4 linked regions of the Arabidopsis thaliana genome follow. The protein of the gene in region 1 interacts with the protein of each later gene in a pairwise test. Each region holds a gene or a part of one and is shown in the gene's direction. Other genes may lie near its edges. The genes, in order: AT4G03250, AT3G07260, BMY2 and GRF5.

Region 1 (8,366 bases):
TCTTGCTGTTGCAGCTACCAAAATTTCCACAAGCATTGTATACACTACATTCATCTCTAGGTTCAGCCCAAATCTGTGCCCAGAATCTTTCTCCATCTAACCTGAAGTACTGAGCTTGACCAGAGGAGCTCATGGTGAACCTTGTATTGGTATACAAAGATGTGAAGAGAGGAGGCACAGAGGCATTGTGAACAGTAACAGTCTCTGTGAAATTGGAAAGAAAGTAAGAAATCGCATAAGGCATCTCGTCGGATCCTATGAATTTACCCGAAATTCCGGATTTCCAGTATCTCATTGATCTTTTCCAAATGATGAACTGTTTGTCTTCTTCTTGATCCATCTGAAAGGTGAAATTTCCATGTGATGGATCGTTGAAGCTTCTCCATGATGATAAAGTCATATTCTCATCCATCCTCATCCCTGGGAGAAATGTATCAGTAGGATTCTGAAAACTCTGCCAAACCACATTTGCTTCATTTCCATCACTAATCAACACAAGATTACCATTATCCATCAGCTTTACCATTCTCTCCGCAGATACTGAGGAAGGTTTAACACCGGTGTCCCAATACACTCTTCCCTTTGAATCAATAACTTCAAGATTCCCATCTTTAGAGATGGTGAAAATGCAGGAACGGTCAAGAACCGGAGATTCACGATTTGCAACCCAGACAACAGTCAGTGGATGTAAATTGTAAAACCAAATCCCTAAGTACCTTCTTTCGTCGGAGCTTCCATTAGGAGTGAAGAAGCCAAGCTCAAATCTCTGACCAGCTGAAACAAGAGTCTCTCCATGGCTGTCATTGATCAATGTTGAACCTTTGAACAATGTTTTGGAGTCTTGAACTGCAACAAAACAATCTAATCGACGAATATGCAGCAAAAACATATAGAAGAAGACAGAAAGAATCATTCTCTGACCAGTACTAGCTTTTTTTTACTCATCTGATATCTCCATTATTTCTGCTTAAGAACTCAACTCAAAACGTGTCTAACGAAAAAAGAAAAAGTTTGCCTCAACGTCAACGAAAGACCCACCTGAAAAGTAAATATGTGGAACGCAGCTAATCATGTGTTTTAAGATGTTTCCAAGAAAAAGCAGAACAAGTCTCACTTGAGCATCTGAACCAAAAGCCATGAAAGTAGTAGATACTATTTACACTCTCTTAGCCACTGTATGTAGATACACATGTGACCAATTCACGCACTTTGTGTCAACTTTTTCCGCGATGGATCTCTAAATAGTTCAAAAAGATCCAACATTTTTTGAATAATACGTACTTTTAGAGTATTTTTTGACAATGAGAGAGACATAGGGGTACCTAAACGTGAATTACTGGAAAAAGGGGACAATGATGTTGAAGAAGTCAATCTTTTGTCCTTATTGGTGCTTTCGAAGAAGTGGAGATTGACCCTGCAAACATTGTTAACCAACTTTTTTCCGAAATTATTGTGAGATTCGAGGAGTTTTGACAAATGTAGGACTTTTGTCGTTCAAAAGAAATGTTTTCATCTAAAACGCGTAAACCTGTAAAAGGCAGCTTCAGCTCTGATTAAACAAAGAGACTTGCAACAATGTCACTATGAGACATTACTGTTTAAAAATAGATTCAGAAACACTAATCAGTTTTCACACTAAAACAACTTTGTCTTCTGCCTTGTTTGTTTATTCCTCTGGATGTTTCATAGATATACCTTTAACAGGGTATAGCAGTTTCAAGTTCATAGATGAAACCCTTTCGCTCACAAATATTGTTTTAAAGCCTTCTTTATGAGAGTTGGATTGGTTCACCACATAGATTCTCTAACTCCTCTTCCAGGAGTTTATGCAACTTTGCTTCAGTTCGCCGATATATCCACGCATTAGCATCACGGTCCCAGTCAAATCTAGAAGGGCCACTGCACCGAGACAAAAGGAAGAATGAAGATTACATTAATGTGAATCTAAGATGTGGAAGCACAAAGTCAAGAGCAACAACACTATACAGTCATAAACAGTTTCATTTCTCCAAATATCATGAGTACAAAAATCAGAAGAGAGAGCAGAACATGATAATCCAGATGCGAAATTCAATCTAGGCGCCTAAAGTTAGCAACTTTCAAAAGGCAAGAAAGAATCTTTACCTCACAGGTGAAGACATCCAGATTTGTCGATTTGGAGTTTGCTTATTCAGTACATAAGTGCCTAAAGATCCAAGCTTAAGGGTAAGAACTTCATTCTGTTGGAAACAGCCAAAAGGACTGACTATAATAAGTACACATAGATTTCCAGAAATATGAACAAGATCTTAAATTGCTTAAAAGAGTTTAATCCTTACCCCATAATCTATGTCGAAACCATCAATCTGAACATTATCACCATAATCCTGAACATGAATCATGCAAGTAGAACATAGTGTAAGCTATTGCAATCTCAAGTAAAACGAAGAACCCTAGAGAGAAAAAGGTTCCAGCTTCAAATACCTCAATTTTCTCAAGAAGGTGATTAATTGTGAAGTTGGCTAATTTGTGAAACTCTTCCTCCTGCAAAACCGAACTGTTTTTTTCTTCCACTTTGTTCATATTCTCATGAAATTAACGATTCAGATACAATAAAGGAGATCAAAATGGAGAATATTAAAGTACCTGTAATCGACAGAAGCAGGACCTTGAGAAGAGAAGCTTCTGGTAGTCAAAGAATCATGGCGGATTCGAGATCCTATTCTCCAGAAGGAATCCAACGGTTCTATGGAATCTTGAATCAGATTGCTTGAAACTCTTACGCCATTGCTACGGAGAAGAGTTGGAGACAGCTTGAGAAACCTCGGCAATTTCCGTAGAAGAAACCTTGAAGCTGTAGCCATGGCGGTTCTGTCACAAGAAACATTCGACGCCTCTCTTCTTCTTATTCCTTCGTTGTCCAATTTAGGCCCACAATAAGGCCCAAATTTAGATTTACCCGGTTCACGTATTTCCCATGTTCCGGTTTACTGAAACCGGTATGGTTCTCAAGAGATTTGTCATTTGTGTGCGAAGAAGAGTTTTCTTCTCCTCTCATAAGAAAAAACCAGAATTTTGAAGAAGGAGAAAGAAAAAAATCTGGGTTTTTGGGAGCTGATTAGGTTTTGTTCCTTCAATCTCTGGGAATTTTCGCTATGCACTCAGGTGAAATTCGTTTTTTCCTCTATTTCAATCTCTGTCTTCCTGCGAGTTTACGTGAGAGAATAGTTTTTAATGATCCCGAGTTCGTCGAATTACAATGCAACTCCCAGTTTTTGTAGTTTTAATTAGCGAAATTCATCAATGGCATTGGAAATTTTAAGCCTTTTTTGGTTTGTTTTATGGTACTACTAATTATTCAAGCTAAGGAATTCCAAAGTTTTCGTTCGTTTTGATTGGGTTTAGAAGTATTTGGCTGATGAGAGAAAGAGCCATAATTCTGAAATTAAACCCTTTTATGTGAAGCTTGTGTAGATGTTTTACCTGAATTTCGGAATTACTAGCAACATTTCTAAATACACAAAGCATGATTGTAAAATGAAATTGATTTTGGTCAGGGCTTTGCATCTCTTGGTTATTGAATGGTGTCCGTGTTTCACTATTATCTTCTTATGTTTTTGATTTTTATGTGCTATTTTCGATAGATTCAGGCGAAGCGACCGCTGATGGCGATAAAGCTTCTACAGAAAACAGCAAAAAACGGAAGCTTAAGACTCCTATGCAAGTTATGGCGCTTGAGAATTTCTACAATGGTAAATTATGGCTTTGTTGTTTGCATATGTTCCTTTATACCAAGTTGTATATGCTTTACAGGTGTGATTTGGTTTTTCTACAGAGCATAAGTATCCGACTGAAGAAATGAAGGGCAAGTTAGCAGAGGAAGTTGGATTAACTGAGAAGCAAGTTTCAGGTTGGTTCTGCCATAGAAGGTTAAAAGACAAACGTCATGTAAAAGAAGATGGGAATGCCATTGGGAGCCAAGATCGGTCAAGCGTTGTTCTTCAGGATCGTGGAAGTGGGCTTCGACAGGATTCATGTGGTAGTACAAAGCAAACGGATTATTGGAACCCCAAGCCTAGGGAAGTTGAAAGTCAAAGGCTTTATATGGGAAATGCTGATGGTGAAGATAGTACATCTTCTGATCGTAGCTCATCATTACGTAAGAATCTTGTCTCTAGCAAAGATGGAATTCGCGATGTGGAAAGTTCTAGATATGTTGCACATAAAGACGTTATTCAGCATCCTCAGTTCATGAGAAGCTATGGGTATAATAAGCCTTCGGGATACTTGAAAGTGAAGGGAGAGAGTGAGAATTTTGCTATCACTGCCGTAAAGAGACAATTAGGAAGACAATACCAAGAGGATGGTCCACCTCTGGGGGTTGAATTTGATCCTCTTCCTCCCGGTGCATTTGAGCCTCAGACTAATCCTATAGTTCACGGTGAGTCATGATAAAATGTTTCAACTTTACCTTTAATTTTCTGGTTTATGATGTTATGAGTATTGAGTAAGTGGCTCAGAGAAGCTAAAACCATCTTCTTCGTGTGTCAGATTGTGAATGCCTTTACCCATGTCCAGTCGGATTTGATTGCTTTTTCTATCAACTGTTTTGTCAGAGCCAATATATGTTGGGAATCAGAGACGGCCTCACCTTCCACATTTACTTGGAACGAGGAAGAGCTTTAATCCTGGTCCTGTAAGTGAACATTTTCTGTATACTACATACCCATGAAGATAATATAAACTAGAATCTTAGTCTGCCATCACATTCTTTGGCTAAATTATCTTACTTTCTTTGAAGTATTATTAATATTTTCGTTTTCTGTCTTAATGTCTTTATAGAGCTATGAATTAGCTCGTAAATCAAAGTTGCATTCGCCAGATCCAGATTCAGAGGATGATGAGCATGATGATGATGACAACATAATGGTTGGAATGGAGCCTGGTCTAAGAGATAAGAAAAGTTTTGGGGAACCAAGACTGAAATCCCCTTCTACCAGTTTCTATAATTCTGTACCTCGCCACAAATCGTTTAAAGAGACATTCAAAGGTTCACCACGGGAAATCCCTGTAACTAACAGCAAGAAGGGTTGGATAAGTTCCAAAAGTTGGGCTGAAGGGTCGAGAAACCATCTGGTTGCCAACGTCCAAAATCTTTCTGGAAGCAATATTGAAACCAATCAGTCTCATGATTATGATAATAATATATCTAATGGCGGACGCAAGACGGGATATCTCACTAAATCTTCGAAGCTGTTACCTCCGAGTAGAAGCAGATCCCCTGAGTCAATGGATAGAGGTCCATCTTCTGGGATGGTAAAGATTTGTCTAATACTTCCATGTCTACATGTTCCTTTCTTGCCCTTTTATGGAAATATGACTTGTGTTTTGTGTGATATCTTCTTTTAAAGGCAGGAATATATCACGGGGAGAGGAATCAAATGAAAATGCAGAGAGAGAAATTGCATTCGACTGATGAACCACCGGTGAGTTTGATGGTTAACTATCTTAAAAATATAGATATTGATGTATATTTTAACAAAGTTTAGAGGCTCTATCAAGTTCGTGTTCTGACCTTTAACGAATGTTAATAGGTTGCCAAACGAGTGAAACATGGGTATATTCAGCAAGTATATGCACCAAAATCATCATCATACAGCGAGATTCTTGAACGAAAAAGCCAGATAAATCGGTTAGTAACCAACCATTGTGTAATGCATTTATTGTCCCAAAGAGATATCAAATCGGCTTATTGGATCATACTGTTATGTTTGTAGGTCTGGTGTGGAACTGCCTTCTAGTTTAAGCGGGGACGATGAGACTGACGAATCTAGCTCGTCAATGGATTAAGTAAAGAAAGGTACAAAGGAAGATTAGGAAATTCCGGTTTGTATAGATATATGATGAAACCGGTTTAGGATGTGAAAATGTTGCATCGTGTAATTGGTAAAAGTTAGAGCTCTCTTCATTTTGGTAACTAAACGGTCCCCAAAGAGATACAGTGAGCCAGTAATGAGCCTTTTTTTGTTTAAATTTGCTCCTAAACCGTTACCGGTTTGACCGAATTGAGTATGTAAATCCCAGTGATTACAAAATAACCAAAGTAAGGCCCATTTATTAATAAAGCTCAAATTAGGCCCAAAATATTATGATAGTCCGGTTTAGTCGTAAAAGGCGGTTCGGAAATGTGTGACTAGGAGATTTCGTCACATGAGAAAAAATCAGAGCCGTTGACTAGTTTTCGTAGAAAGTATGTGGTACAATTTTGATTCGGCCAAAAAAGGTTTTTTTCTTTTTCTTTTAGGGTTAGCGTTGCTTTGCCTCAAACTCAAATTTTGAAGATAATTTTTTTGGTTTCTCTGCTACTGATTTCGAATCTTTACGCTTAATCAATTATTCATCTGGATTTTCAAATCCAATCCTTTTCCTCCCTGGTAAGAATCTCTCTTCTTCTTCTTCTTCTCTCTCACGACGATTCCACTGTTCTCCGATTCTGTGTTAGTTCCTGCGATATTTTCCATCACTTGTTCGTGTTTCGTTATTACGGGTTTGTGTTTTGTGAACTTGTTGACCTTTGTGTCTCCGTAATTTCGTCCAACGGTTGATGTTTTTGATTGCTGATTAGATTTTTGTCGGTAGGTATTGAAAAAGATGATCTTTATGGATTTTGTTTTCTGTTTCTTCTTTCCTTTTTGTAATCTGACTTGCAAGCTTTTTGCTTTTTTTGTCGGTCGGTGTTAAAAATTGTTCCTTTTCTCTTGTTCAATTGTTTCCTCAGGTGACCAAGTAATTGGGGATTAACAAAGGGACTGGGGCTTTATTAAGCTCGAAACAATTGTTCTTCACTCTGGCCGCTTCTGCAAAGTCGTGTGCTTCTCGCACCTCTGCGCAGGTGTGGGGTGGCCTTGAAGTGGTGACTTCACTCTGTCTTCCAAGGATTTCTCTAGCTTCTATCATTTGGAGGCTCCGTCGTGTTTCTGAGGGTCTTACCCTTGATTACGGCTAACATTTACTACGCCCACTATACCACCTCTTAAGCTTTTATAAGAACTTTTTATTCGTGCAAAAACTTAACTTGGATCTTAATTGTTTCTAGTTTAGTTGTGGTTGTAAAGTAAAGAACCGTTTTTTTGTGGTTTGGTTTTGCTTTTTTAGTTTCCGTTGGTGATGTAGTTCGATGTTATTAAGTTTGACACAATGGTCAGGTTTTCATGCTTCAACGCTCACATCCACCGCCATAGACCTAAGGTAACTTGAACCATCATTGCCTCTTGTGTCTTTAGAACGATAGTTTTACATTCTCTGTCCAAGACTCCTTTGTCCAATAAGAGAATGCTAATTTGTTTCTATGTTCTGGTGATGCAGAAATCTGTTGAAGGATTTTCAGAACGAGTGATCAAAGAAGATGGGTCTAAATCAAAAGGATTGAGCTCAATTATATTTGGGAGAAACATTGCTTCTGTTAGTGAAAACAGCAAGCCAGCCGCTGTTGAGCGTGTCTGGAAATCTGAGGAAATTAAGCCCAGTGGCATTCTTGAGCATGGTATTGGGACGCACCAGGTACTGCATCTCAAGAAAAGTCAATCTCATGGAAATGAACTATACTTGGATGGGCGGGATGCCACAGAGAATGGAACAGACGATGCATCAGATCGGATTACTTCTCCGAATTCTCTTGAACAACAGAGTGGTATTCACGAGGCAGGCAGCAGCAAGCGTGTAGATGAAAGTCCTAATCTGTATCAGCAAGGTCCTCGAGCTTCTGTTTCTGCTTACCAGGGTTCAAATCAAGCACTCTGTGGGTCTATTTTCTCGGTTGGAGATCTTCATCATACTGATAAAGACAGCCGTCAACTCGATGATACCTCCTTATATGGTGAACAGATGGACAACTCAAACAGTCAAACACCTCATGATTCACCTTTGATGGTGAGGTCGAATTCATTGCCTAATATTGCTGACTCTTCATCAGAGAAGTCTTCACCTTTCAAATATTCTTCTCACCACTCTAGATCCTCTGATGACCTTCATGCCCTCGACACTCGCCAAACAGATAAATCTGTCCATGAGACTGATGAAGAGGTGAAGCAAGAGGAAGATCAAGATCGGGACTATGATATGCATAATTCTGGAGATAACAACAAGGAAAATCTCGTGGAGGATGGATATGATGATTCATATGATTATTCTTCTTTGGCAAAAGATTGGATCGTACCACCAACAGATGAGCTTAAATTATCAAAGTTCCTTGAAGGAGAAACAACAAACCAGCAAGCAGAATTTTCGGGAAAGGATTCTAAATTCAAGCGTATCGAAGATTGGGTCAATGACCTTCAGCATGTAAACTTGTCTGAGGAAGCTGATGAAATAACAGGGTACGATGATGA
Region 2 (6,766 bases), on another chromosome or scaffold:
GGCCTCGGGTATATCAACAAACCTGAACATGTCGGTGCAAACAATGTAGCCTTTTTCTTGGGGAACAAGAAAGAAAACTTGTGTGAAGTGCCTTGCAGGTCTCTCGTTGAAAGTGAGGTAGCCATAAACAACGACGAGGATACCCTGCTTAAGAGAGTCTTGGGACGTGACGCTGGTTATCTTAACCGAATCAAAACTACCAGGAGATCGCCATTTAAGATCTTTCTGTTCCAAGATTAGGAATCATTCAAGAGAACAAAGATTTCACCAAAGTTACTAAGTCAATCAGGAAAAGTATCTTTACCGATAAAGTGAAGACACGCATCGTTCCATCTAGTCCAGGCCGTGAAATCGTACTCTTATCTTTATAAAGCTTATAGAGATTCTCCGGGGCGTTTTGCAAGGTGTTATAGTACTGCCTTGCAAACTCATCCCCCACCTACGTTTATACAGAGAGTTACAATCACAGGACAATGAAATCCGAAGAACAGAGCATACAGTTGTTGGATCCTATATACCACCTTTGCAGTATTTGGACGAGGATCCATCGATACAGAGAATATGCAATGCCCTGTATCTCAAATCAAGTTCCAAACGCAAAATCGTTAGATCTTGCGAACATAATCATAAAAGAAATGGTGAGAAGCAGCGGCTAACACAAAAGAAATGACTTATTTGTTAAGAAATGACGAAAGAAGTATAGAGATTGTCTTCACGTTTCACTAAATCAAAAGCAAAAGATGCATCGCTGATCTAATCCTCGAACCAACGATAAACCGGAATCGCTGAAAGAAGACTCACCTGAAATTACAGCGAAGTAGTGAAGAAGATTGAATATGAGTATTGAGTAGCTCCGAGTTCTTCCACACCCACTCCAATGGCGGTTCCTACGGTTATTCACCAGAAGGAAGAACAGAGGAAGAGACGAAGAGCGCGAGAGAAAGAAGGTGCTGAGAATTTCTTTTTATTTGGATTTTTCGTCCTATTTATGCAATTTCATAAAATGTTTATATTTACATTTGTTGCCACTAATCGTTGAGCGTTTTCGTTTGTTTGTTAGTAAAATCTGTTACTTTTTAACTGCTTTATTACTAGAGAATATTTGTTGACGAATTCAAACCATATGAAATTGCATAAATAAACAAATATATATACAACTACACGAATTCTTCACTTTTACTGATACGTTAATAAGAGAGACAATGCAACAAATTAAGTGTAAAATTAGTTGAAAAATGTCAAGGAAAAACAAAACTCTAAGAAAATCATGGATGGAGAGTCCCTTCGAACTCAAAACGTCCATCGGTGAAACTTATATACACAAAAACGAGACAAAAAGAGTAACAAAATATGTAAATTTGTAGTTCACAAAGTTGAGGGAACAACGGTTATATGCCTCAACGGATGCGACACATTAGTCCCACCGGCGTGAACGATGAACTCAGCCGGCGAGAAAGACGTTCCATGGCAGACGCAGATTATACTGATCTCTGATTTTGAGTAACGGTATAGAAAACCATTTACGGTTTTGCCCTCGGGACCGTTACCGGTGCTAGTCACGCAAGGCATCTGAGCAAACGGAAGCAAACTGCCGTTACCGTTACTGTTGGTATGCGGTTTTGGCGGCTTCCCACTCTCTTTGGTTACAGAAGAGTTGGACCATTCTTGGGTCTCCGCGTCTTTTGAACCGTCTGTGTTATGCACGGTTTGCTCTGTACCGGTCAGAATGTTGTTAACCGGAGATCTAACCTGTTTGGTTTGGCCAGATTGTGCCCCAATGTCGCCACTTCCACCTGAACATTAACCATAATTCAAAATCATCTACATGCAAATAGCATAATTTTCGTGATTCTTTAACAGAATCAACACATCGAATTATATACTAAAAAAAAACTATATACATATACCAACCAATTTTAGTTTATTTTTAAAAGAAGGTTGTTATATACCTTCTTGGCGAGAAGAGCTGCTAGGATCGGATACGGAGGAGGAGGTGCAAATGGGTGACCCAATCGTAACGTCTTTACTGCTTTCCTTGAGTCGACCCGACCCGTAACCGTTACACATGTTGATAGAGCTCAAATCCATATCATCGCCGTTACTAACTCCGTTATATTCTGTTCTGATCCTCTTGCACTCTCCTTCTTCTCCGCTTCTCTGCTGCTGCTTCGCCTCCCGCTTCTTCCGTGTTTCCTTTATCCTCGTCACATTCGTCGTTCTGCCGTCAAGATTAACGCCGTTATCCTTCTCGAATCCGACGGCGTTAGATTGTCCAAATGTTTTAGATTTCTCCGTTTTCTTGAAAGGACCTCCCAGGGAAAGACATAGCTCGAGCTCGAGCTCGACCTCCACATTCTCATCTTCTACAAACTTTTCTGCCATTGATAAAGATTCAACAAACATATAATGTCAAAAAGATGGTCTCTTGTCTTCCGCAAAATTTTCCTCTTGAAGGGTTTTGAAGCTTCGCCAACTTTGTTGTATGAGAAAGGAATATTATAAGGGGCGGAGATAATTAAAAAGAGAATGGTAAAGGCTTCGGAACATGACACATGTCCGATAAGGATAGTGGACATGGGCGGTTTCAAAATTCACTAAGAGAAAGGTTAAGAAACTTTATTAGCGCTACAATTTCGGATTATCGATAAACGCTTTCCATTTATTTTGTTGGTTTCTATTTCCATTGGTTGTAAAAATCAAGTAAAATTTTGACGAAAAGTACCGAGACGCCACGTGTAACACGTGCATGGAAACAGTTAACACGTGTACACTGAGATCCTGCTGGCTTTGACGAGGACACGTTGGGTGTTTTGAATTCTTGTGTTCGTATCTGACTCCGCGAATCTCGAGCATAAACACGACCCCGGGATTGACATGTGGCGACCATCTTCGAGAGACAGTGCAATAGGTTAGACAGTCCAGGTCAGCAAATGACGCCGTAACGGTTATTCTCATCTGATGTGTGTCGACGTGGTTCATGTTTGGCTGGCTTCATGGGCACGTGCTAGATGACAAATGGCTGTAAAGAATTATGTTGAGTAGATAGATGACTCGTGTCTTTATTCGAATAGTGGAATAGCTTGTTGAAGTTGCTTTATTATAGCTTGGCTATCACAAGTTCCAGCCTTACTCTTGCATGAATTGCACCTGGAAAGTGGAAAGAGGATTGAGACTATTTGAATTGTTGACAAGAAAAACAAAGGAAGATTCTGCGAATACACTGTGGAATATAGCAAATGTTCTTTTCTCGTTGTGATTTTTTCGGTTGATTAAATGTTTAACAAAATGTAAAGCAAAGATTCTAGAAAAAGAAAACCATTCTTGACTTTGCTATTTCTTTGACAAAAATGTGACGATATTCTTATGAACTTTTCATCATATTTTATCATCATAATTTCAAGCCTTACGGTTATCACATGATCCATATTCATGTCAATGTCATGCTTATCCCCGAATATTACATACTACTGGGTTTATGTACATAAGATCCGGTTCACGTTAATGGGCTGATGCTTTTTAGATAAGGCCCAACTAAAGCTGTTTCTTTTGTTAGCCGTGGAAACAAACTGCCCGTTTTGATTTGATCGCCGTAAGGCCCGTAACATTGACAGTGGAGAGGCTGAAAACATGATGGGTATAATAGTCATTTACTTGAGAAGCCTTTATATTTTTCATTGTACGGTTTAACCACAACATATCTAAACCGGTTTCCAAACACATTCTATTACTATGTAACCCCAAATTTGATCTCCGACTTCAAAATCGGAGAAATTTCACGGCATGGCTACAGCCGTTGGAAGCGGGAGCGATGTAGAGGTTGGATTTGCGAAGCTCCAAGGTGAGGATTTCGAGTACTATATGCAGTCTTACTCCATTATTCTCGGCCGGAATTCTAAGAAATCGACCGTCGACGTCGACCTCTCATCTCTCGGCGGTGGGATGAACATTTCTCGCAACCACGCTCGGATCTTCTATGACTTCACTAGACGACGCTTCTCTCTCGAGGTACTTGGCAAAAATGGCTGCTTCGTTGAAGGTGTCCTCCATCTCCCTGGGAACCCCAACGTCAAGCTCGATTCACAGGACCTTTTGCAGATTGGTGACAAGGAGTTCTACTTCCTGCTTCCGGTTTGGAGTATCCTAGGCGGTCCATTGGGACCCAGGCACCACGTCTTAGGGAAGGCTACTGTTGTTCCGTACCATAATTATCATTCGGGTCCAGGTTCCGGGTCGGGTAAGAATGGCGTCCGGAGTAGAGAGTTGTATGAGTACGATGATGAAGACGACGATGAAGAGGAGGATATCAGAGGCAGTGGAAAGAAAACATGGAGAGATGGACATGAAGGAGTATATGCCTCTGGAGGTAAAACCAAATTGCTCATGATAGCTTAACTTCATTGTGTCACTAAATAGATTTCAGGCTTGTTCTAGACTTTGAGTATAAGTTTTACTGTGGTGGTTGATGATTGAACCTTGTTAGACTTAGATTGAATGATAGTGACACCACGACATTGTATCTGCTTCATTTGTGCAGAGAAGAAGAGAGAGGGAAGATCAAAGGCAGATCGTGAAGCTGATGATCAACAATTTTTGCAGCTAATGCATGGTAGTGGTTGGTCTGTGACAGATATTAAAGGAGTATGGAAACGTATGGCATCACAGTCGAGTAAGAAGATACCTATCACAAGAAGACTGGGCTATCCCTGAAGCAAAAGGTAAACCATGGTACGGTTTGCTGATGCTGCTGAGAAAATACCCGGAGCATTTCGTCATCAACACGAGATCAAAGGGAAGAGTTACCCTTGAATTCGTTTCCCTCGTTACCCTACTCTCATAATCATCGAGATGATTGTTAGTGCAGGAGCAGGATGATTGGTAGTATATCTTTTATGTTTCCACGTAATGAGTGTATAAGTGGGTGTTAGGTGTTTTGACCTTGGTGACTCGTCGGATTAAGTTTTTCTCGCTTTTCTTTGTTACGTTGTATATGTAGAATGACAATGACATTGATGAGTAAAACACTCTCGGATTTAACCTTTTCTCTCTCTTCAAGAAATCGCATAAGCTATTTTCAGCCATATACATACTATAGCCTATATGGCTATTCAACATTAATACACTCTCGGGTAAATTTAACCTTTTAGTTGTTTTCTTATGGCGAAAGCGGATTTGGTTTGCATATTATTTAGTTGAAAAGAAAAATCAAACGAGAAAATATATCACAACCCAAAAGTATACTATACAAAATTCAGATAAAGTTGTCTCAAAAGTACTATGCATAGTACAGATAAAGTTGTCGGAAGGAAATATTAGTATGATTTTCCCCGTCTCATTACTGTACATCACTTAGTCAACGCATACACTGTTAAAAGTCAACACATACAATCATTCAAAAACGTTTGGAGTTTAACACATAACACATCACAAGAGTGATCATCACAAATTAGAAGTTTATTTTACAAACTTGAGCCTATTAAGTTTTTACTTTTTGGCCTAATGAAAATTGAAACCACTTTATTCAAACCCAAAAATCAACTTTCTTCTCTTGTTTTATCGGTGGTCAAGATCTAGGCTGTTCGCAATAACATTTATTATTTTTTTTTCCAATAATTTCGTCTTTAGTACCAACTTTCGTTTTATATATTGCTGCCGTACAACTTGCACTTGCTTACATGTTTATTTGTCTACAAATTATTACTTAAAAGTTAAAACAATATACAGAGAAATCTCCCTAAGTTATTGAGTGATAGTTTTAAGTTTTTTTTGTGAGATAAATTAATTACTATTTAGTATTTTACGTAGGTTTTGGTAAGATTCTTCGATTTTTTTTTTACTTACAAAAACAATAGAAAAAGACTGATGCATGACAAAATTCTTAGAAAAAAAAACTGATGCATATGATAACGTGAGTGAAGTTGGTGCTTAGAGTTGCTAATATTAATATATATATATATATATATATATATATATATATTGAGTGAAGTTTTTTTTTTTTTTTTTTCAATCATTGAGTGAAGTTTTTTTCTTCTTTTCTTTTCTTTTTTAATCTTCTGCTGCAGTCACAAACTCACAGTGATTGTAAAGCTGAAGTTTGTTTCCAGGCTCATTAGTCATTACCCTTGCTACAAAATTAGATTAGCATCAAAATTAATTAGTAAGTATTTAACCTAGGTTTTGATAAGATTCTTGTATTTGGTTTTCTTATCACCTCGAAATTTCCAATTTTGTTTGATTAAAAAGGATATAAGAAACAATAGGAAAACGTGCTTGTGGCATGCAACGTTGTTTTTTTTTTAGATACAGATACAAGGCTATTTTCTAAATTCAAAATCTTAATCCGACCAAATTTAAATCTATAAAAGTGATTGGTTACAGACACTATTTTACTTTTTTGTCTTTTTCAAGAAGTTATTTGGATTTTCAAAATTACAGCATTAATTAAAATAGTAAACATATGTTAAAAGCCTAGGCGGATAAGTGAAAATATGATTTAAAACATTTCTAATGCATATTTTATTTTATTTTAAAGGAGATTTTAAAATATAGAGAATAATTCAATGTGCCTTTATTTTATTTTAGAGAAAATTCTATTTTAGATATATATAATGGACTAAAATTTTTTATATAAAAAAAAATTTCTTAAATAAAAAATAATATAAAAATGAACATTGGAGATGGTCCGTAAAAAAAATGGAATATTGGAGATGATCTTGTTTAAATACTAATTACGGAACTACCTACTTTAGAGATATCTATGTGTTAATAA
Region 3 (8,947 bases), on another chromosome or scaffold:
TATAGAGTCTGCTTCTTCATATTCCACAAGGCATATGTAACATCTGAGGTTCCAGGAAAAAACATGTTTAACCATTAGGTCTCGAGACTTTTGAGCATCACAATTGGCAAAAGAAAGATCTGAGAATTTAGTATGCATTACTGTGATGGATCCTCGCTTTGTGACTTAGTATAAAGTTTTATCGGTAATAAATCCACAACGTCGTTAGGTGCAGGAACAGATCCTATAGATGATACTGATGGTTGTTGAGAGGATAAGACAACAGATTGCTGATGAATTTCATCAAGAACCTAAAATGAATGCACTGTAGATCCTTAGCATACATGAGAAAGAAAGATAGTGGCAAAAAGCTGTTAGTAGGGAGACCGAAAACATGTATTTACCTCGAAGAGAGCTTCAGCTAGCAATACTATCCTTGAGATGCTAGCTCTTGCATTTGTTTCATCGGTTGTTGCTGTTGTCGAACCACGGTTAGTAACTGCACGGCATGTGCAGCGACCTGCTTGATCTTGACCTGATAAGACACAAGATCTATCATGATGGACTGCGACATTCTCAAACCGGCTTCCTAATCTTTGAAGAGCGCGAACCTGTGGAATTAGTTATATCAGTTAGTTAGATCTTGAGTTGATCAGACACATCAAGGAAGAGAGAATCAATGAGTTTCAAACCTGAGATCTTATTCTCCTCCTTCTTTCAAGGAAATCTGATCTGTGTTCTAATAAACCTTGATACCTCCCTTCTCTCACAAGAGCAGCTGGTGTCTCATGATCCTGAATGCCGAATAAGGTCCTTCGAATGCTAGAAGCGGAACGATTTAGTATAGACGTTGAAGTCACAGGAGCATCCTCTGCTGCTGCGGTTTCAGCAGAGAAGAGATCAGTATCTTCTTCTCCCTGATGTGGCGAGGGACGGAATGCGAAATCAGAGAGTGAAGATCGGCGAAGAACTCTATCACGGAGTCTTCCAACACTCAGAGTTCTACTAAATCTAACATTGCGCTCAATAGAAGGTTCTCGTACAACATGTCTTCTATCAAGAAGTCCAGCATAAGTACTATCCATACCATTAACTACTCTCGGAGAACGTAAGCTACCATCTTCCCCAAATCTCATGGCATCAATATCTCTAACTACATTGTCAATCACAGGAATTCTCGGAGACTCAACTCTATCATTGAGCCTAATAGCAGATTCTGAAGGTGAAGTAACACCATCTTCTCTATGAGAAGAAGAGACTGGATAAGTCGTGTTGAAGGATCTTGAACTTGAAGCTCTGCTAAGTCTAGAGCTTATGTTACCAGGAATGAATTTGAAATGCGAAAAAACTCGACCTGGAGTAGAAGATTCTTGAATCGAACCGCTAACATTTCTCATCTGTACATTGCTTACACTAGCTTCCTCTTCTTCTTCTTCAACACCACACTCATCATCAAGCTCAAGCTCATCACAATGTCTTTCGTTTTCAGATTTCTTATCATCTTTCAATTCTTTATCATAGCAATCTGATGCATCTCTTCTCGATTCCATTCTACGCCGTGTAACACTTCCATGACTCTTCCTCATCCATCCATTACACACCTGAAGAAATCAAAACTCATGAACTTGACCTAATTTCAGATTTGACCAAAATAAATTAAATATCAAAACCAGACCTGTTCATCATTATCATCATCACTGTAATGAGAAGTAGAAGATGAAGCAAGACAAGAAGAGTGAAGACCACAAAAAAGACTCTTTGATCTTCTTCTCCTTCCACCACCACTAGAAGACGACGGAGGAGGTTGAGCCACGTCAGAAGCTTCTCTCGCCATCGCCGACGAGCCTAGACATGATTTGCTCCGGCCAGATCCCATCTTCTTCTCAAAAGCAAACAACTTTCTGCTAAAATTACATCATTGACACAAGACCCACAAGTCTTTTCCCCATCTTCTTCAAATCCACCAATCGAAGAAACCTCCAAGTCAAAATCTAAAGATCGAAACTTTTTCCTCAGATCTTTACATTGAAACCCGAATTCGTCATTGACAATGCAGAATCAAAAGCCCTAATTATTGAATCCCCAGATCTGAAACTCGATCGAGATTGCAAGAATACCTCGAAATCTGAACTTTTTTTATTGCGAGAAATTAATGTAGGAACTAAGCTATGTGTGTTGTCTTTGAATCAAAGAGAAATGCTTTGAAGAAAAGGAAAGATTTTTAGGTGATCGGAGTAATCGAAGAAGGAGACAAAGCACCTATCTGCGATAGAGAGAGAGACTTTTACGGGAAGAGTGTGTCTTGATGTTCGAACGAGAGGGAACAAAAAACCAAACTCACCATTTCTTTATTTTTCTTTCTTTTCTTTTTCAAACTATTATAACATTCTTTTGTTTTCGTTCGATTTTTTAATCTTTTTTGCAATCATAATTGGACTTCATTGAGGACTATAATTGAGAAAAAAGCTTTGAAATGGTCATTGAACAGTGATCACTTAGATGAAAAATAGTTGTAACCAAACCAAACTAGAATATTCAAACTATACTCAAAACTGAAATTTTGTTGACAAAGCCTTTTGGTTTTATAAATTGCGAAGCAGAAATACAAAATCGAACCAAAATCGAACCAAAATCGAATCTATATTCTCAAAAATTAAAATATAATTGAACTACACTAACTTCAAAGAAAGAAAGAAAAAAGATATATTAAAAATAGAAAAAAAAAATGAGTTGAAAAAAGTAAATCACAATAAACTAAAATATACAAATCATTTTTTTTTATGAAGTGATTGTTTTCAGTATTTTACAATTTAGATATAGTGGCATTCTAGCTTCAGAAGATTTTTGTTGGACCGGCCCTGTAAAGTCGATTTAAAGACCAAACAAAAACTAATTTTAACATGATAAAATCGAATCAAATAAACGGAAATTCATTAACATTTTATTTATAATTATAATGTTAATTTTACTAAAACCTACCTAAAATAAAAACCTGAGTCAAAATATGTAAACTAATTTTAACATGATTTTGGTTTGATTTACTAAACCAAAATCAAATCAAAAGACAAATTATGTATTTATGTTATTCAGTTTTTCTTTTCTAAACTAATAAAACCATGAAAAAAAGGATTGGAAACAAAACCGTAAAACCCATCGTGTCATTCCTAACAAACCCATCAGTAATTCAGTATCACTTTGTCAAAACTGGTCACATTGGCTATTGTTGAACAAAAAAAAAAGAGAGGTTTTTGACCAAAAAAAAAAAAAAAAAAGGAGGGGTTAATATTGACGATTTTGATAATGAGAGACTTTTAACGTAATTTATAATAATTACCGACGTTGATTTGTAAATCCATAAAGTTACAAAAAAATCTCAAATGTGGGAACAGCACAGAAGCGAGCAACTTCACCGCACAAAAATGCATACTCTCAACAACACCATCACCACCACCACCGGTTCGCAAGATCCGAATCTCGACCCAATTCCAGACCCGGATCAATTTCCCAACCGGAACCGCAACCAACCACAATCTCGCCGCCCTCGCGGATTCGCCGCTGCAGCAGCAGCAGCGTCGATAGCTCCAACGGAAAACGATGTAAACAACGGAAACATCGCCGGAATCGGCGGTGGAGAAGGAAGCAGCGGCGGCGGAGGAGGTGGAGGAGGGAAAGGGAAGAGAGAGAGGGAGAAGGAAAAAGAGAGAACGAAGCTTAGAGAAAGACATAGACGAGCAATCACTAGTAGAATGCTCGCCGGATTAAGACAGTACGGTAATTTTCCGTTACCGGCGCGTGCTGATATGAATGACGTAATCGCTGCTTTGGCTCGTGAAGCTGGTTGGAGTGTTGAAGCCGATGGTACTACTTATCGGCAATCACAGCAACCAAATCATGTGGTTCAAACTTCGAAACTCTCTCTCTCAAAATTCAAACTTTCATATTAAGCTATTTAAGTTAGGGTTTAGTGGAAAGATGATAAATTTGATCCCAAATATGTGTGAAGCTCTTAAAGTTATAAGCTTTGTTCTGTTATTAATGTAACATAGATTGTTTAATATTATTGGATTAGGTACAGTTTCCGACGAGATCTATTGAGAGTCCACTTTCTTCTAGTACATTGAAGAACTGTGCTAAGGCTGCAATTGAATCTCAGCAGCATTCAGTTCTTAGGAACGATGAGAAACTTGCTCCTGTGTCTCTTGATTCTATTGGTATTGCCGAGAGTGATCATCCCGGGAATGGAAGGTATACTAGTGTTAGTCCTATCACCTCCGTTGGATGCTTGGAAGCCAATCAGGTGAATGATAAATTCATTTCCTTATTAGGAGAATTGACTTTAAGCTGGACGTTGTTTCATCTAACCACTTTGTTTTTCTTTCAGCTTATACAAGATGTTCATTCCGCAGAGCAATGTAATGACTTCACAGAGAGCTTTTATGTCCCTGTGTACGCCATGCTTCCAGTGAGCTTCTGATGAGAGAACTTTGTGTTTTAAGTGTATATATATGGATGTTGCCCAATAAAAAAGAGTGTACATATATTTCTTACCAGTTTTGCCGCGATCCTTAGTTTTCCTGTGCTAAAGTTCTGTACCTTGTCTTTCAGGTTGGCATTATAGACAACTTTGGCCAGTTGGTTGATCCTGAAGGTGTAAGACAAGAATTAAGTTACATGAAGTCATTAAATGTCGATGGAGTAGTAATAGATTGTTGGTGGGGAATAGTTGAAGGATGGAACCCTCAGAAATATGTATGGTCTGGCTATAGGGAGCTCTTTAACCTTATCAGAGACTTCAAACTTAAGCTACAGGTGTGAATATTTTTACTTGTAGAGCTTTGTTAAATACATCCTATGTGACCAAACTGTGACTTTCCCTATAAAGGACCGTCTTTTTCATAATATCTTAGCAATCAGTATATGGTTTGTTTGAAGGTGGTGATGGCATTTCATGAGTATGGAGGGAATGCATCTGGGAATGTGATGATTTCGTTGCCACAGTGGGTGTTGAAGATTGGGAAAGACAATCCAGACATTTTTTTCACTGATCGTGAAGGAAGAAGAAGTTTCGAGTGTTTGAATTGGAGCATTGACAAGGAACGGGTATTGCATGGACGAACTGGTATAGAGGTACTCAAAGAACACTCATTGCTCAGAAATTGTTCAGTATTTTGGTATATTATGTCTCATTTCCTCCTCTTTTGTACTGTCTAGATTCTTATTTCTTCCTTTTCAACACTTGATTATCCAGGTCTATTTTGATTTTATGAGAAGCTTCCGGTCAGAGTTTGATGACTTGTTTGTGGAAGGACTAATTACTGCGGTTGAGATTGGTCTTGGAGCTTCTGGTGAACTAAAGTACCCATCTTTCCCAGAAAGGATGGGTTGGATTTATCCCGGTATCGGTGAGTTTCAGGTATTTTTCAGATTGCTGAACTTTACTTCTACGTTCTAACTTATGACTAGTGAAGTTAACATATCAATTTACTATTTTTCCTATTGCAGTGTTATGACAAATATTCGCAATTGAGTCTGCAAAAGGAAGCAAAGTCACGAGGATTCACTTTCTGGGGTAAAGGACCAGAGAATGCTGGTCAATACAGTTCTCATCCACATGAAACTGTGTTCTTCCAAGAAAGAGGTGAATATGACAGCTATTATGGCCGCTTCTTCTTAAATTGGTACTCACAATTGCTAATTGGTCATGCTGAGAATGTTCTGTCTCTTGCAAATCTCGCATTTGAGGAGACGAAGATTATTGTCAAGGTATAATCCTTTTGGCACTTATCCTTCAAACCCAGTGATGCCTATAACAATGAGACTCATACACCAAAAACAACAATGCAGATACCGGCAATATACTGGTCATACAAGACAGCTAGTCATGCTGCTGAATTAACTGCAGGATACTACAACCCTTCAAACCGTGATGGGTACTCTCTTGTTTTCGAAACTCTGAAGAAATATTCCGTGACTGTGAAGTTTGTGTGCCCTGGGCCACAAATGTCTCCCAATGCGCATGAAGAAGCATTAGCTGATCCAGAAGGTTTAAGTTGGCAGGTAATGACACTTTTTATTGATGACTATAGCTTTTTTTACTTCTCAGCAAATGTAATCTTAACCCTAAAGTTTTGGTTATTTGTGGCAGGTGATCAACGCAGCTTGGGATAAGGGACTTCAAATCGGTGGAGAGAATGCGATTACTTGTTTCGACAGAGATGGTTGTATGAGATTAATCGATATAGCTAAACCAAGAAACCATCCAGATGGCTATCACTTCTCCTTCTTCACATATCGTCAACCTTCTCCTCTGGTTCAAGGATCTACTTGCTTTCCAGATTTGGACTACTTCATTAAACGCATGCATGGTAAGATTTACCCGCACGCTTGATTGTGCCTTCCCTTTAGATTCGTTGTCAAAATCTTTGTTCTTACAACTATATTTGTTTCTTTGCAGGCGACATAAGAGATAAACAGTTTTAGGATTTGCATGGTCTTAGGATTCTTTTAGTAAGTGTCTTTTGTTTAAAACTTCAAAATCTGTTTTGTTTTGTTTATTCTCTCCTCAAGGCCTATATTTAAGACGATTGATCTTGTAATCTTTAAACACCTTAACACTTCACTAGTTGAAGATGAACTAACTAATTAAATTCTTAAATGCATTCTAATCCGACTCGCGTAAAGTAGACACTTGTTTAGTTTTATTTTGAAAAATACAAGAAGGTATTGATGTCTAATGAATACAACCGAAAAGTGTTGCCTAACTCTTATACCTTTTTGTCTAAATTATTCTTAGAATAACCTTTTTGACTATATATGCCCGAATCCGATTACATTAATGGTATTAATAATTTTTGTTCAAAGTTACATTTTTCTTTTGTATCATTCAAATAATATTCTGATAAAATCCTGATTTTTCATGATTGTATTTGACATTTTAGATCCAACCAAATCTTTGAAGAACAAATAAAGAGGGGAAAAAAAGACCAACATGTCCTTTTGCATTCAGTGTTAATTCATGGACAATATAATGTTGGTCCGTACGAAAATTTGATTTTGTATCTAAAGAAGCATAAGAAATAGGGTTAGTTAACCACAACGAACAAAGCCTCTATTATACATATCTAAATGTGGGATAATGAGGCAAAATGTCCAATATGATTAATGAAAAAGATGGAAAAAAAGTCTTAGGTGGTGTGTGATTTAAACTGTGTTTTAATTACTTTAAATGATATGAAAAATCTGTTATTATTTAATCAAGATTCTATTAAATTCTGTTAAAGTTTTTTTTTTAGTAGTAGAGGGGAAACAACCGTCTCCCGCAATTTATTGAAACTGAAAAGAAATTACAAAACGGTAGGCGGGTGAGCCTCGGAAACGCAGTTCCTCGGACATCCTCCCTTACAATCTCCTCCACCAATGAGGGAGCTAAATCAAACTAATGAATACCTAAAGATAGATTAAAAGCATAGTTCGCTAACCCGTCTGCAAGGCTGTTAGCCTCCCTATATACATACGGTTAGCTTCTCTGTTTTAGTTTGATGTTATTAGTTTTTGATTTATTAAAAAATCTTTAAAACTCTTAATAAATTTGGATTTATTGGAATTATATTTTAAAGTCATTGAAAATTTTGTGTTATTCAACTAAAACAAAAAAAATATTTGATTGTTAATGAATTAAATTATTCTGTTATTGGTTTATGATTTTCTATATTTTTACTAACAAAATAAAATCATAAAAAATATAATCGAATGTTTGACAAAAAAAGTATAATCAAAATAGAGATATTGTTTGAAAAACTTTACAAGATTGTGAAAAATTAATTTACATGATTATAGAAAACTCTCTAGCAATAGTTTATCAACAATGATACATTTTTTTTGCTTTAATTGAATATCACAAAATTTTAGCTATAAAAACATGAATCTGATAATTCCAAGAGTATGAATATTTTAGATTATATTTTATAAATCTTAAAACTAATAAAATCAAACTTTAACAAACAAAAAAAAATGAAAATGTTGATTAAATAACAAAAGATTTTACATAATATTAGAAGTCACTAAAACTCTATTTAAATCACAAACCAATAACATCATCAAAATAAACAAAAGAAAAATATACGTCATCAACGGCGTTTACTATTCTGAACGAAATTGTATAAATCTCATCATCACTAACCTAAAACCAGCATAAACCCTAAAATTTTCTCAAAACCCCATAAACGGTAAACCATAAAGCTTCAAAATTTACAGAGTTTCCATCAGAATCTGTTGATATCTAAATTCATTTACCCGTTAAACATTAATAAATAATAACTGATAAAGAATTCGAAAACAATATCTATATAGCTCAAAAACCCTAGATCCTAACATTTCAAAAACAAAAACATTATTCTTAAAGCTTCGAAACTAAAACAAAGACTTAAAAAGTAAGGAAAAAAACAACAAATTATCTTGATTTAGATAAAACCCAATACCGAATCAATCAAATCACACAGTTTTCAACAAAAAAATTAGACGAACAACAAACAGAATAATTGTGTCAGATCTGATAGTTGGATCCTTATTTTTTCACCTCGGACTCCGATTCAGTTGATACAAGACGGGAGCTCACAAACCAACCATGACAAGACACGTGTCGGTGTCAGCCAATCAGTTCCCGACCTGCACCAAGCGAATCCGAGACCGCCGGTAACTTTAACAATCATCGCATCTCTCTCTCATCAGAAAAAGGTGAAAGAGAATAAGGAGGAGAAAACAGTTACCAAATCCGGCAAATATTTTTTCTGTGATTTTTAGGTCTTTCTCAACTATCGATAATACTTTAGCAGCCTCCTTTAGTGGTATTTAATGAAAATGATAAACCAATTATTTGTCTACGCGTGTCTCTTTGAAAAGTCTTCTGTTTCTATATCTGCACGTTGACCTAACGTCGGAACTCGTCACCTGTGACTGTCACGTGCATGCG
Region 4 (7,727 bases), on another chromosome or scaffold:
TTGCGTGGGTTTGTACTGTTTAATAAATTCGTTTGATTAAAAATTGTATGTTCAAATAATGTGAATCGTGGCAATATCGCCTTGTGAATCGTGATTGGTGAACGATCGTGGTAATTTTTTTTTTTGCCAATAGTTATTCTTACCATGATCTTAGTCCAAATCGCTCGTATAACACAGTAATAAATAAATACAAAAAAAAAGAACAAAGAAAACAAACTAGAATGCGGTGCACACTAGAATGAAACATTACAAAAAACGATTGTGAGCATCTCGTTAATGGGAGAGATTAATATATCCGGAACAAAGCAATAAATATTTTCTCAAAAAAAAGAAGATATAATCATCTCAAAAAAAAAACAAGATAATTCTTTTGACGTAGAATATATAGTAAATAAAAAAACGTGGAATATAGCAATGTTTCATATATATATTCGTAAATCGTTGATTTTTATGTGATTGGATGGATGATGAAGCAAAAGTATTATATTCCCTTATATAAAACGAAGAATATCGTAAAGAACCCTCGAGGCCTAAAAGATGGTTAGGGTATAGACTATAGGCTATAGTATTAACATGTCAATTGTAAATGTCATGAAACTGAAAAAAGAAATAGGGAAAAGTGAGTCAAAGGGAGAAAAGGAGGTAGGTCTCTTGCCCTATAATATCTGCATTTACCCACCCATCATCTCCTATAATATAACCCATTTATAACTCTCCATTTTCTTCTTTTTTTGGTAAAAGTTTGAATTAACTCTTCATTTTCATTTTAATTAATTCGCTAAAAACATAATAAAAACAAGAAGAGAATAGATGATGATGATACAGATGAGTGACTAAAATGGAAATTTATGCACTAAAATGGAAATATCCCTTGGTCCAAAGGTCTTTCCACCTTCTTCTTCATAGCTTAATCACCATGATTATGATCATATATATCTTTGACCAACCAACAAGAGTGGAGCTCTAACTAATATGTGTAGGTACCATCTTACATATCTCCATATACGCATGCATATCATTTTCGAACCAATTTAGAAGGTGATGTATATAATCAAAAGTATTTAGGATGATGGTTTATCGCGTGAACACCATTTTGTTTAAGTACGTGGTCATCGCAAGGTAACCATCTTTATTTTCTTGGGTTGATCTTCACTAGCTATATATTAACCAATTACATATGTATTATTTTGTACTGAAGAAAGGATATAATTTGTAATCGCCAAATGATTGAATTAGTATTTGCTAATTACAAAAATTTGTAGAAATCGCGATAATTATCAACTTTTTTACTATATCCCATCATTCTACTATTACGCAATGTTATCAATTGTACTAGTTTGTTTCATCCACTATGTAAAATCATTCAAACCCTAAAGTCGATGCTCATCAGCTCATGTATATGTATGTATCATGTATATGTACATAAGATATAAAACCTTTATAGATGTGCATGTAAAAGAATGGTAGATAGTAGTAGTAGGTGTGTAAGGAGAAAGATCTAGGGGGCTTCAAAAAAAGGAGAGAAAAGGACAGAGCATGTGAAAAGAGACAGAGAAACAAACAGAGGAGTGAACAGTCTTACTCTTTTTTTTTTCTATGCACTTAATGAACCCAACCCTCTCTGTATATTTCTGATTCTTCACATGTCTTCCTCTTCTTTTTTATTCCGAAAACTTTTCTTCAGTAAAAACCAATGCCGAAAAAAATACATAATAAAAACGACAAAATATCTAACATTTTTTATATAAAAAGGACAAAAGTACTTTCACTTCACTTGCAACCAAACAAACCTAGTCCCCTTCTTTATCCAATGGTCTCTCCCCTGCTCTCTATTTCTCATCTAAACACCCTTTTCTTTCTTTCTTATTTACCATTTTGCCAACTTATGTAAAAGATGTTAAGAAGAAAATGTGAAAATTTAGTAAAAATCTCTCTTTTGTATTGTCGTCAGAAACTGTAAAATAATCTTACTCTTTTTCAAGTCAGCATATAAGTTTGGTTTCTTCTCCCGAGTCAGAGATTCGTGCAGTGATGATACAAGAAGCTTATTCCGAATTCTTTTCATAAATACTCGTATTTCCTTCTTCTTTTTTTTTTTCTTTTTTTTAACATCTATCTGTTCTTCTTGCATCTATCTGATTTTCCTCTGTCTTTTAGACAGTAATAACAGAGCTCACTAAATGTAATAAATAAAAAAATGAGCTCAATAAAAAGGTAAATGGCACTCATTTTTAGGCCATCAAGTGTTGGGATACAGCTGAAATTAAAAAGGCGTCAGCTCAAAGGAAAAAATAAATAAAAAAGATTCCCAAAAATCAATGCACTTTTATAGAAAAAAATACACATAATTTCAAAAAATACTTAAATTTTGAAAAATAAGATGAAGAAAGGATTGAGAAGAGAGGAAAGAGTAGTCAGAGAGACAGGAGCATCAAGTGCTGCAGAAGAAGCAACAGGAACACTGGGCCTGAGTCTCTTCAGATTTGCCAGTCTTTATAGGACCACACTCTTCTTCTTCATCCCCCTTACATACATTTTATCTATTTTTACATTTTACAATATTGGATATTTTAATGTTGTTTTGATTTTACACTACATGGCAAAACTCCTTAAAAGCTCTTGTCCTGATGTGATTCTTTTTTCTTTTCAACACTGTCTAAATATCTCTCTCTTCTTTGTGATCACTCTTTGATTTATTAACTTTCTGATTACCATTCCCCCCAAAATAAACCCTACTAGAGTGTGACTAATTGTATAGTAATCTCTATTGTGTAATAATCTTTTATCTTTCCTCAATACAAAAAAGTAGGGTATATATATAAAAGAGGGAGTGGCCTCGTGTAGAGAAAGAACCTAGCTAGTGTTCATGCAATTTGCATCTGAGGAATATATGCTTAGAAAGAGAGAGAGAGAGAGAGAGAGAGAGAGAGAGAGAGAGAGAGATATCAAACCAGAGGAAAAGAGTGACAGAGAAAGTGGTCATCTTTGTCTGTCTCTGTCCGAAACTCAGGAGCCCTAATCTCTGAATCCATCAAGAAAGCTCTTTCTCTTCCTTCTTTTATGCTTCTGAATTTGCTACATATATAAACTATCTGAAGAAAGCTAGAGAATAAGATGATGAGTCTAAGTGGAAGTAGCGGGAGAACAATAGGAAGGCCTCCATTTACACCAACACAATGGGAAGAACTGGAACATCAAGCCCTAATCTACAAGTACATGGTCTCTGGTGTTCCTGTCCCACCTGAGCTCATCTTCTCCATTAGAAGAAGCTTGGACACTTCCTTGGTCTCTAGACTCCTTCCTCACCAATCCCGTAAGCCCTATACCTATACTTAATTTTCTTTCTTTCATGTTTTCTTTTCTTGCATAAAGTTTCAATCTTTTGTTGATTCTCATGCCCCCAAAGTTTTCAGCTTTATGTGTTTTAGAGTGATTTGGTTTCTGGTTAAAGTCTCTAGCTTTTTTTTTCAACGACCACTTTTAAAAACTCAGTTTCCACAGTCTTACTTTTAATGATTTTGGAACTTAAGGTCCTAATTAGGGTTTTACATCATGATTAATTTTAGGGTTTCGTTTTAATTAAATGATGCAGTTGGATGGGGGTGTTACCAGATGGGATTTGGGAGAAAACCAGATCCAGAGCCAGGAAGATGCAGAAGAACAGATGGTAAGAAATGGAGATGCTCAAGAGAAGCTTACCCAGATTCGAAGTACTGTGAAAAACACATGCACAGAGGAAGAAACCGTGCCAGAAAATCTCTTGATCAGAATCAGACAACAACAACTCCTTTAACATCACCATCTCTCTCATTCACCAACAACAACAACCCAAGTCCCACCTTGTCTTCTTCTTCTTCCTCTAATTCCTCTTCTACTACTTATTCTGCTTCTTCTTCTTCAATGGATGCCTACAGTAACAGTAATAGGTTTGGGCTTGGTGGAAGTAGTAGTAACACTAGAGGTTATTTCAACAGCCATTCTCTTGATTATCCTTATCCTTCTACTTCACCCAAACAACAACAACAAACTCTTCATCATGCTTCCGCTTTGTCACTTCATCAAAATACTAATTCTACTTCTCAGTTCAATGTCTTAGCCTCTGCTACTGACCACAAAGACTTCAGGTTCTGTGATCTTATCTTTAGTTTCTCTTGTTGATCTTTTATGGAAACTTTTATTGATGGATTGTTTTTTGAATTCAGGTACTTTCAAGGGATTGGGGAGAGAGTTGGAGGAGTTGGGGAGAGAACGTTCTTTCCAGAAGCATCTAGAAGCTTTCAAGATTCTCCATACCATCATCACCAACAACCGTTAGCAACAGTGATGAATGATCCGTACCACCACTGTAGTACTGATCATAATAAGATTGATCATCATCACACATACTCATCCTCATCATCATCTCAACATCTTCATCATGATCATGATCATAGACAGCAACAGTGTTTTGTTTTGGGCGCCGACATGTTCAACAAACCTACAAGAAGTGTCCTTGCAAACTCATCAAGACAAGATCAAAATCAAGAAGAAGATGAGAAAGATTCATCAGAGTCGTCCAAGAAGTCTCTACATCACTTCTTTGGTGAGGACTGGGCACAGAACAAGAACAGTTCAGATTCTTGGCTTGACCTTTCTTCCCACTCAAGACTCGACACTGGTAATTAATTAATCTGCAGACGTAATCTTATGATCTATGCTAATTATTGATAGTTTCAAAATTAGTTTAAATTTATTTTCTCAGGTAGCTAATTAAGTAGAGCTGGCATCAATGATGGATCTGCACCAACACACACAACTGTGAAATGTTGAAGAAGAGTCACATTTCACATCTATTTCCGTGGAACAATGAGACAAGACACTGTTTGCAGAATCCTATATGTATTTTTTCTATCTTTTTCTATGTGTGTTAGGTCCAACAAGAAAAAGTGATCCGACAGATATATCTGTATGTGTTCTCTTGCTTTCTCAAGAAATCAGATTTTATTTTACTGTCGCTGATAGCAACAAAAGAAAACATGACTTGATTTGTGAGGGGTATCGTTATATATAATTTATTTGTTTCTTAGGATGCAAGCATCTATATAGTTTCACACATATAATCTAGATTTTTTCTAAGGCCATGTTCTGATTAACTTACTTTAAATGTAAAACATTCATGCAGAGGAATAATAGTAGACTAGGTTGCAAATTCTGTAGGGCAAAGGATACGATTATCCGCAATTAGTTAAAGTTTTATATGTAAACACAGACACAAATAATCAATTACTATCTAAATGGCTGTATGTTGAGATTATCCGCAGGTTATGAAATGACGTTACATAGGCCCAAGTCTTGAATCACGCATTTACGAAACGAGAGTATGGTCAAAACTCTACATAATATGGCAAAACATTAAACTTATTATTATAAGAAGAAGAACCATAAATTTTGTTGTCGTTTATAGAAAACAAACAATCATATACAACTTTTGGTGTATGCTTCCTTCCATGTATGTGCTCCTTTAGCAAAAGGAAAGATGGGAGAGTTAAAAGACAAAACGTCATGACTCTTGATCCATTAATCCTTTTACGTGCGTATGAGTACTTGGAATCATTGGTCATTACCAACATTAATCTTATATTTTTAATATAAATCTCATACGTATAAAATATGTATGCTGAGAATTTTTAAAAGCATGTTGCCACCGAAGATTCTGTGAACGGAATAAGGTCCAGATTAAAACCAGCTCATCTTTGGTCATACCAAACAAAAACGCGTCCTAAACACTTTCATAGTAGGGAACAACAAAATCAATATTATCATTCTTCAACCATGTCAAACTATCCTAACCAGACCGGTTTCCATTAACCGAATCAGGTCAAGGAACTTTCAGACCACCGGAAATTTCAAAAACTCTGATTAATCGGTGTCATCCTTGGCTCTCAAATACGCCCTACCACCAGTTCTAAACTAAACCAGAGGCCAGTTTTCACTTTGCAACATTAACACTAAAGATTCCGACATTTTCTGACTACAAGAGCTATCAAACATGAAAGATTCGATACTTTCTGATTCCAAGAGCTATCAGACACGAAAGAATGACATTTTCTGATTCCAACAGCTAGTCTAAGCAGTTCCTATCTGAAAAATGTCTCAAGCGTCAAAATCAAACCAAAGAGAACTGACAAAGAATCTATTGTCTACGAAAAGCATAACATGAAAAAAGAAACTTGATCTTCCTACCACCTTACTGTGCCTTGAACCTCACTCCTAATAACAACATTACACAAGCAAACCGAAATATCGGAAAACACAAATAAACAGAGGATTTGTGTACAACCATGAATCATTAAGAGAGGTAGAGAACGTAACACACATTTGCGAACTCACAAAATGAAATTAGATATCGGTTTCATCATCTCACAGAATCCCTAAAACAATTTTACATGACTTGAGCCATTCTTTTTTTTTTACTTTCCCCCAACTCTCTCGGTTCCCTCTCTCTAGTTAGCATCGTTAGGCATGTAAATGAAAAACTACACTCCCTTAAAAGAACAAAAAAATTCAGAATACAAAGAAGAAGAAAAAGAAGGAAAGTGTCAAATCCAGAATGTACCCATTTACAGAGGAAAAAGGCTGATGAAGACTTTGAGGAAACATCATTGCAGCAATCAATCTTTCTTAGATCCTCGTCTCAAAAGTGTGTGTTTCCCGGTTTGATGAAAATTCAATAAAATGTGTCTTCCAAATTCAATAAGTATGTGTCATCCTTAGAAGCTGCTTTCTTTTGAAAACCAAGAAGGCAACAACGCATATCTGCAACATTGCTGCAAACCCAGCGAATACAAGACCCACTGTTTTCCCTGTGTTTAATCCACTTTTCTCTGACTGTTTGAAGACCCGAGAAGGAGGAGGAGGAGGTGGAGGAGATGGGGGACGTAACCGCCGTGGTGGTGGTTGGTTTCTATGGGATTCTCTGTTATTAGAATGCGGAGGAGAAGCTTGAGCACGCGGAGGAGGAGGGGGTTTTGAAATCGGTGGCGGAGGTGGAGAAGGAGTAGGTGGAGGAGGAGGCGGCGGAGGTGATGGTAATGGTGGTGGCGGAGGACTCATAACGTTAATAGTGGATTTTGACGGAGGAGGAGGCGTGTTGAACTGAGGCGGAGTCAGAGGAGGAGGTTGCGTATTACCAGATTCAGGGGGAAATGGGGGAGATTGCATAAACTGCTGCTGCGGCGGCGGTGATAAATTCTGAAGCGGAGACGGCGGAGGAGGTGGTGATTGTAATTGAGGTTGGGGTAGAACTTGTTGTTGTGATTGGACAAGAAGGAAGCCATGAAAGGTGAGAATCATGCCGAGAAATAATAAAACAAAACCCATTAATCACCAGAGATTGACCAAAGAGACTCGGATCCAGATAAACAATAACGACGGCTTCTTCCTTTTATCTTCCGTCAGCAGCGCATAGTGGAATTCGATTGTGGCATCTGGAGAAAGATTCCGGTCAACGAAGATATTGATCAGGAGGAGGAGGAGGAGAGAAATCTGAGGAAATAGGTCTTCTTCCTCTCCCTATTTCCAGATTTTATATTCCGACAGAGGATGATGATGATGGAGTCGAGAAGAAGCAAGAATCAAGGAATCACGAATCTGACAACTAATGAATCCCCCAAAATTGACGAATCAAATTCGGAGAATTTCCGGAGAAAAAGTCGATTAAGAAGAACAATTGACTATACGAAGAAAAA

What was found.
Region 2: the proteins of AT4G03250 (region 1) and AT3G07260 interact in a two-hybrid assay, tested with the Arabidopsis thaliana proteins (one large-scale study listed by BioGRID).
Region 3: the proteins of AT4G03250 (region 1) and BMY2 interact in a two-hybrid assay, tested with the Arabidopsis thaliana proteins (one large-scale study listed by BioGRID).
Region 4: the proteins of AT4G03250 (region 1) and GRF5 interact in a two-hybrid assay, tested with the Arabidopsis thaliana proteins (one large-scale study listed by BioGRID).

Annotation. Positions count from the first base shown.
Region 1 is NC_003075.7:1,421,916-1,430,281, forward strand, and holds AT4G03250 (Homeodomain-like superfamily protein), read left to right. Parts: upstream 1-2,986; 5' UTR 2,987-3,134; coding exon 3,135-3,144; intron 3,145-3,623; coding exon 3,624-3,731; intron 3,732-3,814; coding exon 3,815-4,420; intron 4,421-4,595; coding exon 4,596-4,675; intron 4,676-4,821; coding exon 4,822-5,295; intron 5,296-5,390; coding exon 5,391-5,465; intron 5,466-5,573; coding exon 5,574-5,671; intron 5,672-5,756; coding exon 5,757-5,829; 3' UTR 5,830-6,147; downstream 6,148-8,366. Other genes in the region: AT4G03230 (G-type lectin S-receptor-like Serine/Threonine-kinase), read right to left, coding at 1-913; FH (frataxin-like protein), read right to left, coding at 1,770-1,899, 2,125-2,219, 2,319-2,366, 2,464-2,536, 2,626-2,843; AT4G03260 (Outer arm dynein light chain 1 protein), read left to right, coding at 7,177-7,227, 7,345-8,366.
Region 2 is NC_003074.8:2,305,924-2,312,689, forward strand, and holds AT3G07260 (SMAD/FHA domain-containing protein), read left to right. Parts: upstream 1-3,685; 5' UTR 3,686-3,780; coding exon 3,781-4,363; intron 4,364-4,534; coding exon 4,535-4,707; 3' UTR 4,708-5,060; downstream 5,061-6,766. Other genes in the region: AT3G07250 (RNA-binding (RRM-RBD-RNP motif) domain nuclear transport factor 2 family protein), read right to left, coding at 1-225, 305-439, 522-548; AT3G07255 (nuclear transport factor 2/RNA recognition motif protein), read right to left, coding at 1,366-1,793, 1,950-2,403. UniProt on the Arabidopsis thaliana protein: May play a role in the control of plant organ development. Does not show transactivation activity in yeast.
Region 3 is NC_003076.8:18,350,238-18,359,184, forward strand, and holds BMY2 (beta-amylase 2), read left to right. Parts: upstream 1-3,287; 5' UTR 3,288-3,356; coding exon 3,357-3,875; intron 3,876-4,048; coding exon 4,049-4,276; intron 4,277-4,360; coding exon 4,361-4,441; intron 4,442-4,584; coding exon 4,585-4,788; intron 4,789-4,911; coding exon 4,912-5,106; intron 5,107-5,227; coding exon 5,228-5,392; intron 5,393-5,481; coding exon 5,482-5,742; intron 5,743-5,823; coding exon 5,824-6,036; intron 6,037-6,124; coding exon 6,125-6,344; intron 6,345-6,433; coding exon 6,434-6,459; 3' UTR 6,460-6,651; downstream 6,652-8,947. Other genes in the region: AT5G45290 (RING/U-box superfamily protein), read right to left, coding at 1-43, 142-290, 384-590, 672-1,580, 1,655-1,855.
Region 4 is NC_003074.8:4,605,412-4,613,138, forward strand, and holds GRF5 (growth-regulating factor 5), read left to right. Parts: upstream 1-2,664; 5' UTR 2,665-3,114; coding exon 3,115-3,313; intron 3,314-3,592; coding exon 3,593-4,124; intron 4,125-4,202; coding exon 4,203-4,657; intron 4,658-4,741; coding exon 4,742-4,749; 3' UTR 4,750-5,086; downstream 5,087-7,727. UniProt on the Arabidopsis thaliana protein: Transcription activator that plays a role in the regulation of cell expansion in leaf and cotyledons tissues.